Ovis aries: one gene and its partner. The protein of the gene in region 1 interacts with the protein of each later gene in a pairwise test. Links are inferred from orthologs where the notes say so. Each region holds a gene or a part of one and is shown on either strand. Other genes may lie near its edges. The genes, in order: PRR3 and ASF1A.

Region 1 (3,917 bases):
ACGGGGAAATACAGTCACTTCCCAGTGAGAGCGAGGCGAGAGGATGATGCAGGGTAGGCTACCCGCACGTGAGAGCCAGTGGCACGGAGAGGGCGCTGCGGCGGCGAGGAAGGAGGCGCGCGTGGGAGGATCGGGCTAACTTCGTCACGGACGCTACCAACTCGCCTTCAGAGGAGGGGGGACGCGTGTCATCACTACCTTGCGCGCCGGGGAGAAGCTACCACTCACCTGGAGGGGGCGGTGGAGCGGAGGGCGGGTCCTACCACCTGGGGAGAAAGGGGCGTGGACGCGCATAAGCTACTTTACCAATCCTCCAGCTGGGCCTTAGAGGAAAGGCGCGACTGCGCATCCCGGGAAGGAAGCAGAGTTACTGAACTACACTGGGGGCCGGGTCAGAGGTCTTGAAGGGTGGGTGGCGGTCTGGAGAGCCCTGGGCAGCGCCCTGCTGGGACCCAAATTCCTTGTGGGAATGATGATAAGGAGCAGGCTTACAGATCATAAATGCAAGCGCCGCCGAGGAGAGAAACCCAGGTGGGACAAGGATTTTGGGAGGGAGGTCATAGGGCACCAAGTTGTGCCTGCAGCTGTTACCATAGAAACCGGGGACCGGATATGGCGATCTCAAGATGCGACAGCCTTCTCTTATCAGGCCTTCTGGCCCGAGAGTCGACTCTATGGCAGGCTGTGAGGAGCAGCCGGTTGTGGATTTTCTTTCAGCGAGGGGAGGAGCGAGCAACTTTTTCAAAGCGTTTATAGCAACGCAGCAAAGGAAAGGTTTGAGATTGCTGCCCTGCCTGGCAGAGACTGCGGGAGGCGGCTGATGCGAGAAGAACCGCACAAAGATTCTCCGCAGCCTTCCGGAAGTGAAATGGCGGGAGCCTCAGCCTCAGTGTCCACCGCCCCCCCCGGAAGCGGAAACAGAATCCCAGCGTGCCCCTTCCTCACTGCCCTCCAAATCCCGCTGCAGCCATTGCCGCAACCACGATGCCGAAACGAAAGAAGCAGAATCAGCAGCAGCAACTGCAGCAGCAGCCCCCACTGCCAGAGCGGGATGAGACTGGAGACGAGGAGGATGGGAGCCCCATCGGTGAGGAGCCCCGGAGGGGTGCGCACATGCCTGTCAGCCTGTCGAGGCGAAGGGTTAGAGGCTGAAAATATGCGGGGGAGAGGGGTCTAACGGGAGGAAGGGCGCACGCGCTGGGGCGGGGGCCGGGGGGGGGGAGCCTGTGTGGGATGGAACACTAAATGAGTTCTCTTTCTTGAATCCTCAACTTCAAACTGGCCTCTAACCCTTTGTAAAGAAGGGAGAGGAGATAAAGAACTTATGTGCGCAGCCGCAAAACGTCAGAGGGAGAGGGGCCCTAGAGAAGTTGCAGATTGCGATGACTGGGATGACAGTTTGTGACCACACTTGCATGGGGAAGGTGGAAGTAGAGCTTTCTGTGAACTCCTTGCGGATAGGGTTAAAGGAGAGGTATCTGACTGGCCAGCAGTTAAAGAGAGGGATTGGTTTTATCTCAGGAGTCACTTGGGATCTATTGGATAGCAACAATGTAAGGGAGAGAGAAAGTTTGTAGGTATCGTTTTCTCATTATACGCCGTGACAGGGCTGAGTCTCCACTTTGCAAATCCTGAAAATGCTTTGGAAATAGATGGGCGTCAGAACCCATAACACTGTTGAGAATATACCTGGCTTTACTGGTTAGATTAAGAAATGAGTAGTAGAAGGAAAGCATATAAGAACAGGATCATCAGTTTTTTAGTCCATTCTGATGACCATATTTTCATGTCTACTCTTAGGACCACCCAGCCTTCTGGGCCCTCCCCCCATGGCCAATGGAAAGCCTGGTGACCCCAAGTCAGGTGAGAAGAAAGGGGCCCTGATCCTTTGATTAGGTCGTGAAAAGGGAGCAAGGGAGGGACTAAAACCCACAAGGGATGTAAAAAAAAGATCAAGAATTCGGTACTTAAATGAAAAACTCAATGCTGTAAAATGACAGTTCTTCCAAAATTGACCCATAGATCCATTGCATTCCCACTTATAATCCCTACAATGTTTTTGTAGAAATAAGCATTCTGCATTATTATATGGAAATGCAAAGGATCAGGGTGAGAAATTGCAAAGACAATTTTTTAAGGGGAAGGGCTTACTCTGAATATCAAGACTTATCTTAAAGCTGTAGCAGTTATGGCAGTGTGGTATTGGTCCAAAAAGAGACATATAAATTAACAGAATGGCATAAAGAGTCCAGTAACAGGCCCACACACATATGGTCATTTCATTCTTGAAGATGGGATTGAAATAGTGGCCTTTTCAGCAAATCATGGCAGGTTAATTGGATATTCATGGGTAAAGAAGTAATTTCAGAAAACAAATGTATTTCATGGTCTTAAAGTAGATTAGAGTTTTTAAACAGACAAGCAACACACTAAGCATAAAGGAAAAATAAACTGAATTACATTAGGAAATACGAACTTCTATTAATCAAATCACATCATTAAGTTAATAGGAAGCCATAGAGTAGAAGATACTTGCAACAAATATAACCAATAAAGAGTTAAAATTTTGAACATATAAAAAACTCTCTGACAATCTGTTAGAAAAGTGGGCAAAAGACTAGAACAGCCACCTAATAAAAACTGAGATCTAAATGGCCAAAAACATGAACAAGAACACAGCATCATTAGTCATCAGATAAGGGCAAGATAAAAGCATATAACTTGGAAACCAAACCCTTTGTGTACTGTTGATGGGATTGTAAAGTGGTGAAACCACAATGGAAAACAGTATGGAGATTCTTCAAAAAATTAAAATAGAACTACTATGTGATCCAGCAGTTCCACTTCTGGGTGTTTACCAAGAAGAGTGGAAAGCAGGATCTTGAAGAGGGAGTCACACCCCATGTTCATAGCAGCACTATGCACGGTAGACAAGATATGGAAGCCGCCAGATGCCCATCGATGGATGATGGGTAAACAGAGTGTGGTATGATCATGTAATGGAATGTGATTCTGCCCTCAAAAGAAGAAAGTCCTGTAGCAGGCCACAGCGCCGATGAACCTTGACGCTAAGCCAGTCACACAAAAAAATGCTGTATGGTTCCACTGATCTGAAGTATATAAAGTAACTAAATTCATACTAACAGAAAGTAGAATGGTACTTGCCAGAAGCTGGGGCGAGGAGAGGGAAAGAGTTGTTTAGAAGCTACTGAGTTTCAGTTTTGCAAGATGAAAAGTTCTGGAGATCTGTTTTCCAATAACAAGAAATTACTTAACACTACAGAGATACACACTTAAAGTACTAAAGTGGAAAGTTTTATGTTAGTTACAATCACAATTTCAAAACAAAACACTGCTTTTCACACCCACCAGAATGGCAAAGATGAAAAAGATTGTTACCAAGTGTTGTCAAGGAATAACAGCTTGTTTATGGTGGTAGTGGGAGTGTGAATAGGAACAACCCAAGTTTCGAATTTCTTAAACGTAAGCATACATATATTCAAGGATCCAATAATACCTCTACCACATATATACTCAACAAAAATGCATCCACGTGTGTACCGAAGACTTATATAAAAATGTTCATAGCAGCATTTTTTTTGTTATATCCCCACACTATAACAAAAATGTGGAATCTAGTAGCATGTCCACCATCAGTAGAATGGCTAAATCAGTTGTGTGTACATGTAGTGGAATACCACACTGCAGAGAAAATGAAGGAACTCCTGCTACGAGCAACCTGGATGAAGGTCATAAACACTATGTTGAATCAAAGGATCCAGACAGAAAAGAATGCAGACTGTATGATTTCCTGTACCGCAGAGTTCAAAAGCTAACCTATGGTGATAGAAGTCAAGACAGCTGTTACTTTGGGGGAGGAGGGTGGGGTAGTAGGGGAGGAGGGACACAAGAAGGTG
Region 2 (3,917 bases), on another chromosome or scaffold:
ACTTCATGGACTGCAGCATGCCAGGCCTCCCTAGCTGTCTCTTATTAACTTTCAAAAGACCATCAGATGCAGAAGTCTCATTAAAAGCAACCTGCAATGAACAGTGTCCAAAGAATGTTAACTGAAAAATTCTCAGCACCATACTAAGAGAAAACTTTCAGCATAGATGACACTTAAATAACTTTCTCTGAATTTAATTAACCAAGTGGTTTCATTCAAAATACCTGAAAAATGATGGTTTATGCAGCAGGGAAAAAAATCCCTTTATATTGCTCTTATTTAGAAAATAGAAACAGCTCAACAACCTTACACAAAATGTATTACAAGCTCTCCCTTTCCTACAAAGGTAGTCAAGAACAAACTGACGCTGAATGTCGAATAATCAAGTAAAGATTCCTCTGAACTTGCTCGTGGTGCCATACATTTTTACTTACTAACGGTTTAGGTCATGACTTTTTGGAAAATTGCACGTCTTGGTATGCTTTCGTGGTCTCTACTCGCCTTTTGCCTTTTCTGCTTGTATCTGTTGTCTTTACGGTCTTCTGATACTTGCATTTTCTCCTTTTTATGTTCCTGCTGTGTCCTCCGAACAGGAGAAACCGGGTATAAGTGATCCAACCTCAAGTCATCTTTTTATTCTAGACTTTCCAGACTGGAACGGGAGAAAGACGACCCTGGTGCAGCCCAAATACTACCTATTCCACAAAGTGTGGGTGGAAAAGCGTTTCCTCGCCCTTCATTTTGTATCTACTTAACTAACGGCGCTGTCGTGCCCAAACGTAGAGATTGGCCAAGAACTAGATTTCCAAAATGGCTTTGCTCCTTTTGAGCTGACATCAGTCTATAAAATGCAATTTACTTCCCCTGCAACCAACCTTCCCTCTAACCCAAATATTACCCAGTACACAGACAACTGAACCTAACCTAGTGTAGACAACGGATTCGCATCTCCTAAATTCAGTAGAGAGCCGACACAGCCGTCGGACTAATGTGAAGAGTCAGAAGGGGGAGTGGGGGAGACACAGAACAAACCCGTTACACAAACCCCAGAGGCGGGTGTCGCCAGGATCGCGCCCTCCCGTCGCCGTGCCCACGGCGAGCACGCCTTCCCGCCGTGGCCACGCCTCCTGCCGCCTCGCCGTGGCCACGCCTCCCTCGACCCCGCCCCGCTGCGGCCACGCCCGACGTGAGGCGCGGGAGCCGCCGGGCCGGGGGCGGGGCCTGCGCCGCCCCTCCCCCCGCCGCCGCCGCCGCCGCTGCCGCCGGCGGCCTCCGCGCGGGCCTCCCAGCCCGTATTCCACTCACTTTGTTCTCCGCCTTTGTCCTAATCCACACCAGCAGGTGGAGCCGCAGTTAAAGTTTCCGAGTCCATTCCGGGAGCGGGAGCCCATCTTGCTCGCCGCGGAGGCCCTCGCTGGAGGAGGAGGGTCAGAGCTCGGGTGCAGCCAATCGCGGGCAACGCTGCTAGTTATCAGAGCAGAATGGGCTGTAGTTTAGTGAAATAGGAAAGCTGCAAAACACTGTGGAGTGTTCCCGTGTAAATAAAAAGAGGAAAAAAAAGTTTCTCAAGTCGCCGCTGCACGACGTCGGGCCGGCGCCGGGGCGGGGGTCTGCGCTCTCCCGAGCGGCCGCGCGCTGGACTTTATTGTGCCGCAACGAGCCCCCCGTCCCCATTGTTTGTGTTTTTTTCAAAATATGGCAAAGGTTCAGGTGAACAATGTAGTGGTGCTGGATAACCCTTCTCCCTTCTACAACCCATTCCAGTTCGAGATCACCTTCGAGTGCATCGAGGACCTGTCTGAAGGTGAGTCGGGCGCCCGCCCGCCGCCGGGCTGTCAGTTGCGGGCTGCAGACGTTGAAAGTTTCCCGGGCCCGGCCTCACGCGGGCGGCCGGGGCTCGGCGCCGAGCGGGCTGCGGGCTCGGCTTTGCGGAGGGAAACTTGAAGTTGATGGACGACGGCCGGCCAGGCGCGCGCGGCGTTCGGCCGCCGCCGGGGCGCCTGCCGCGGCTCAACTTGCGAGGAACTTGTTCGAGCGGAGGTAGCCATGTTGTCAGCTTTGTCTGGCGGGCGGGCGCTTCGCGAGACCCGCACTCGCGCCCGCGGCGCCGGCCGGGGGTCGCGCCGGGCTGGCCCCGGGCACCCAACGGCCTCCGCGGCCCCGGCGAGGAGGTGGGAAGGCAGAGGCATGTGTGTGGTCGGCGCCGGCGAGTTCGCAGCGGAGCCATCTTACCGAGAGTAGAGAATTGGGCCACCGACCCCGGCGTCACGACGCCTCCTCTCCGCGGGTGACGAGCGCGGCGCCCCGCCTGCCCACCTTCCTGCCCCCGAGCAAGAGGCACGTCCATTTTTAGCGCTCACGCTGGAGTTACCGGACTCTCCGGGGTGGCCATGCCCGGCCGCTTCGGGGAGGGGAGCGAGGCTGTCCTCGCGCTGATTTCTGGTTCCGTGGACCAACCAGTGGGGGAGGCGGGCGCAGGCTCGGCCCCTCGGCGCCACGGGCCGGCGCTCTCCGGGGGCCGCGGGTGCTCCCGGGCCGGCGCTCCCCAGCCGGCACCCAGGATGCTCGGGGCGCCCGGGGATGCTGGCGCGCAGGCTCGCCCCGAGCAACGTGGGCTCCTCATCCTTGGTGACTGAAATCTAATCTTCTCTCTCTCAGGAAGAAACATATTGCTAAGCTAGCAAGTTACATTTAACCTGAGAGCAGAAATAAGTAAAATATTTAAATAATTTCCAGGACTTGATCACTGGCTTCTAAGTAGTCTGAAAGACTTCCTTCAAGAACGTGTTGAAATCTAATTACAGCAAGTCCACATCCAAATACCCTGAACATAAAACACAAAAGTGGGCTAGGAAATAAAGTCCTGATGGCAATGCAAAATTTAATTTTTTTTTTCTAAGTACGTTTTAAGGTCCTCAGAAAGACATATAGCATGTGCGGTAAGAAATTCAGAAAGCTAAAATTTGCCAAGGTCTTTCCGATTTTATTAAAACCATCCAGTGCTCCATTTTCAAAATTTCAAGGGGAAAAAAAAGTTTAACTTCATCGATGGTAATTTTACAGCTAAATAGGGGACAGGCTTTTTTTGAACTTACAATTATGTTTAGCAAAATTCATCTTAAATTATATGCTAATCAAGGCATGTAAAGCATTTTCACTTTAAAAATTATCCTTTAATCCCTGTATAATGTATTTTAGGTAGTGTGTAAACTATTTCAATTACAAAAACCAACATATGCTCATTGTAATAAACTTTTTAAAAGTTGTTCATACATATATAAAGTAACACTCCTCTGTACTCAATACCTTCCGCCAACATGTCACTCAAAAGTAACCATAATTACCACTTTAGTATGTGCTGTTCCATACACTGTAGTTTTACTACAAATATAAAGCACATATGCACATACGAAAGTAGGCACATTTTGAAAGACAATTCATTTATTAAACTAATTCTTAAATGGGCTGTTGCTAATAAAAATTAAAGGGGGTTTTCCTTATTACCGAACTTTGAAACTATTTGGTTACTAAAGTACTGCCATAAGCATTTCAGCCACTAGGCCCATTTTCATGCCCACTAGACATTTTTTTGGTTTTACTATCAACTGCATATAAAAATGGACAAATGCAAGAGAAATACAATAAATGAGTCCCTTCCAATTTATACTACAGTGTTTTAGGCATTAGAACTTCTTGAAATTACTGGTATTTCTCAAGTGATATCTTCCATTTTAGGAGCGAGTTCTCAACAAGGAAGTTAGATGATTCAGGATGTTGTTACAGGGCTTTGACAATGGATGGCTGAAACCTGCCATTGATGTGTTCTGTTTGTAATGGGATCTTTTCAGAACCAAGCTGAATCCTATCAATTTTTACAGTACTGATGTCAGGAATACACCTTACTTTGACTTGTCTAC

Evidence for each region.
Region 2: the proteins of PRR3 (region 1) and ASF1A interact in binary tests that used the Homo sapiens proteins (3 or more experiments, as listed by UniProt). The two-hybrid records come from large-scale screens. The link is inferred for Ovis aries from reciprocal best matches to the Homo sapiens genes PRR3 and ASF1A.

Annotation. Positions count from the first base shown.
Region 1 is NC_056073.1:27,532,931-27,536,847, reverse strand, and holds the start of PRR3 (proline-rich protein 3), read left to right. Parts: upstream 1-943; 5' UTR 944-984; coding exon 985-1,087; intron 1,088-1,800; coding exon 1,801-1,863; intron 1,864-3,917.
Region 2 is NC_056061.1:19,405,088-19,409,004, reverse strand, and holds the start of ASF1A (histone chaperone ASF1A), read left to right. Parts: upstream 1-1,465; 5' UTR 1,466-1,695; coding exon 1,696-1,804; intron 1,805-2,962; exon of another isoform or gene 2,963-3,917. UniProt on the Homo sapiens protein: Histone chaperone that facilitates histone deposition and histone exchange and removal during nucleosome assembly and disassembly.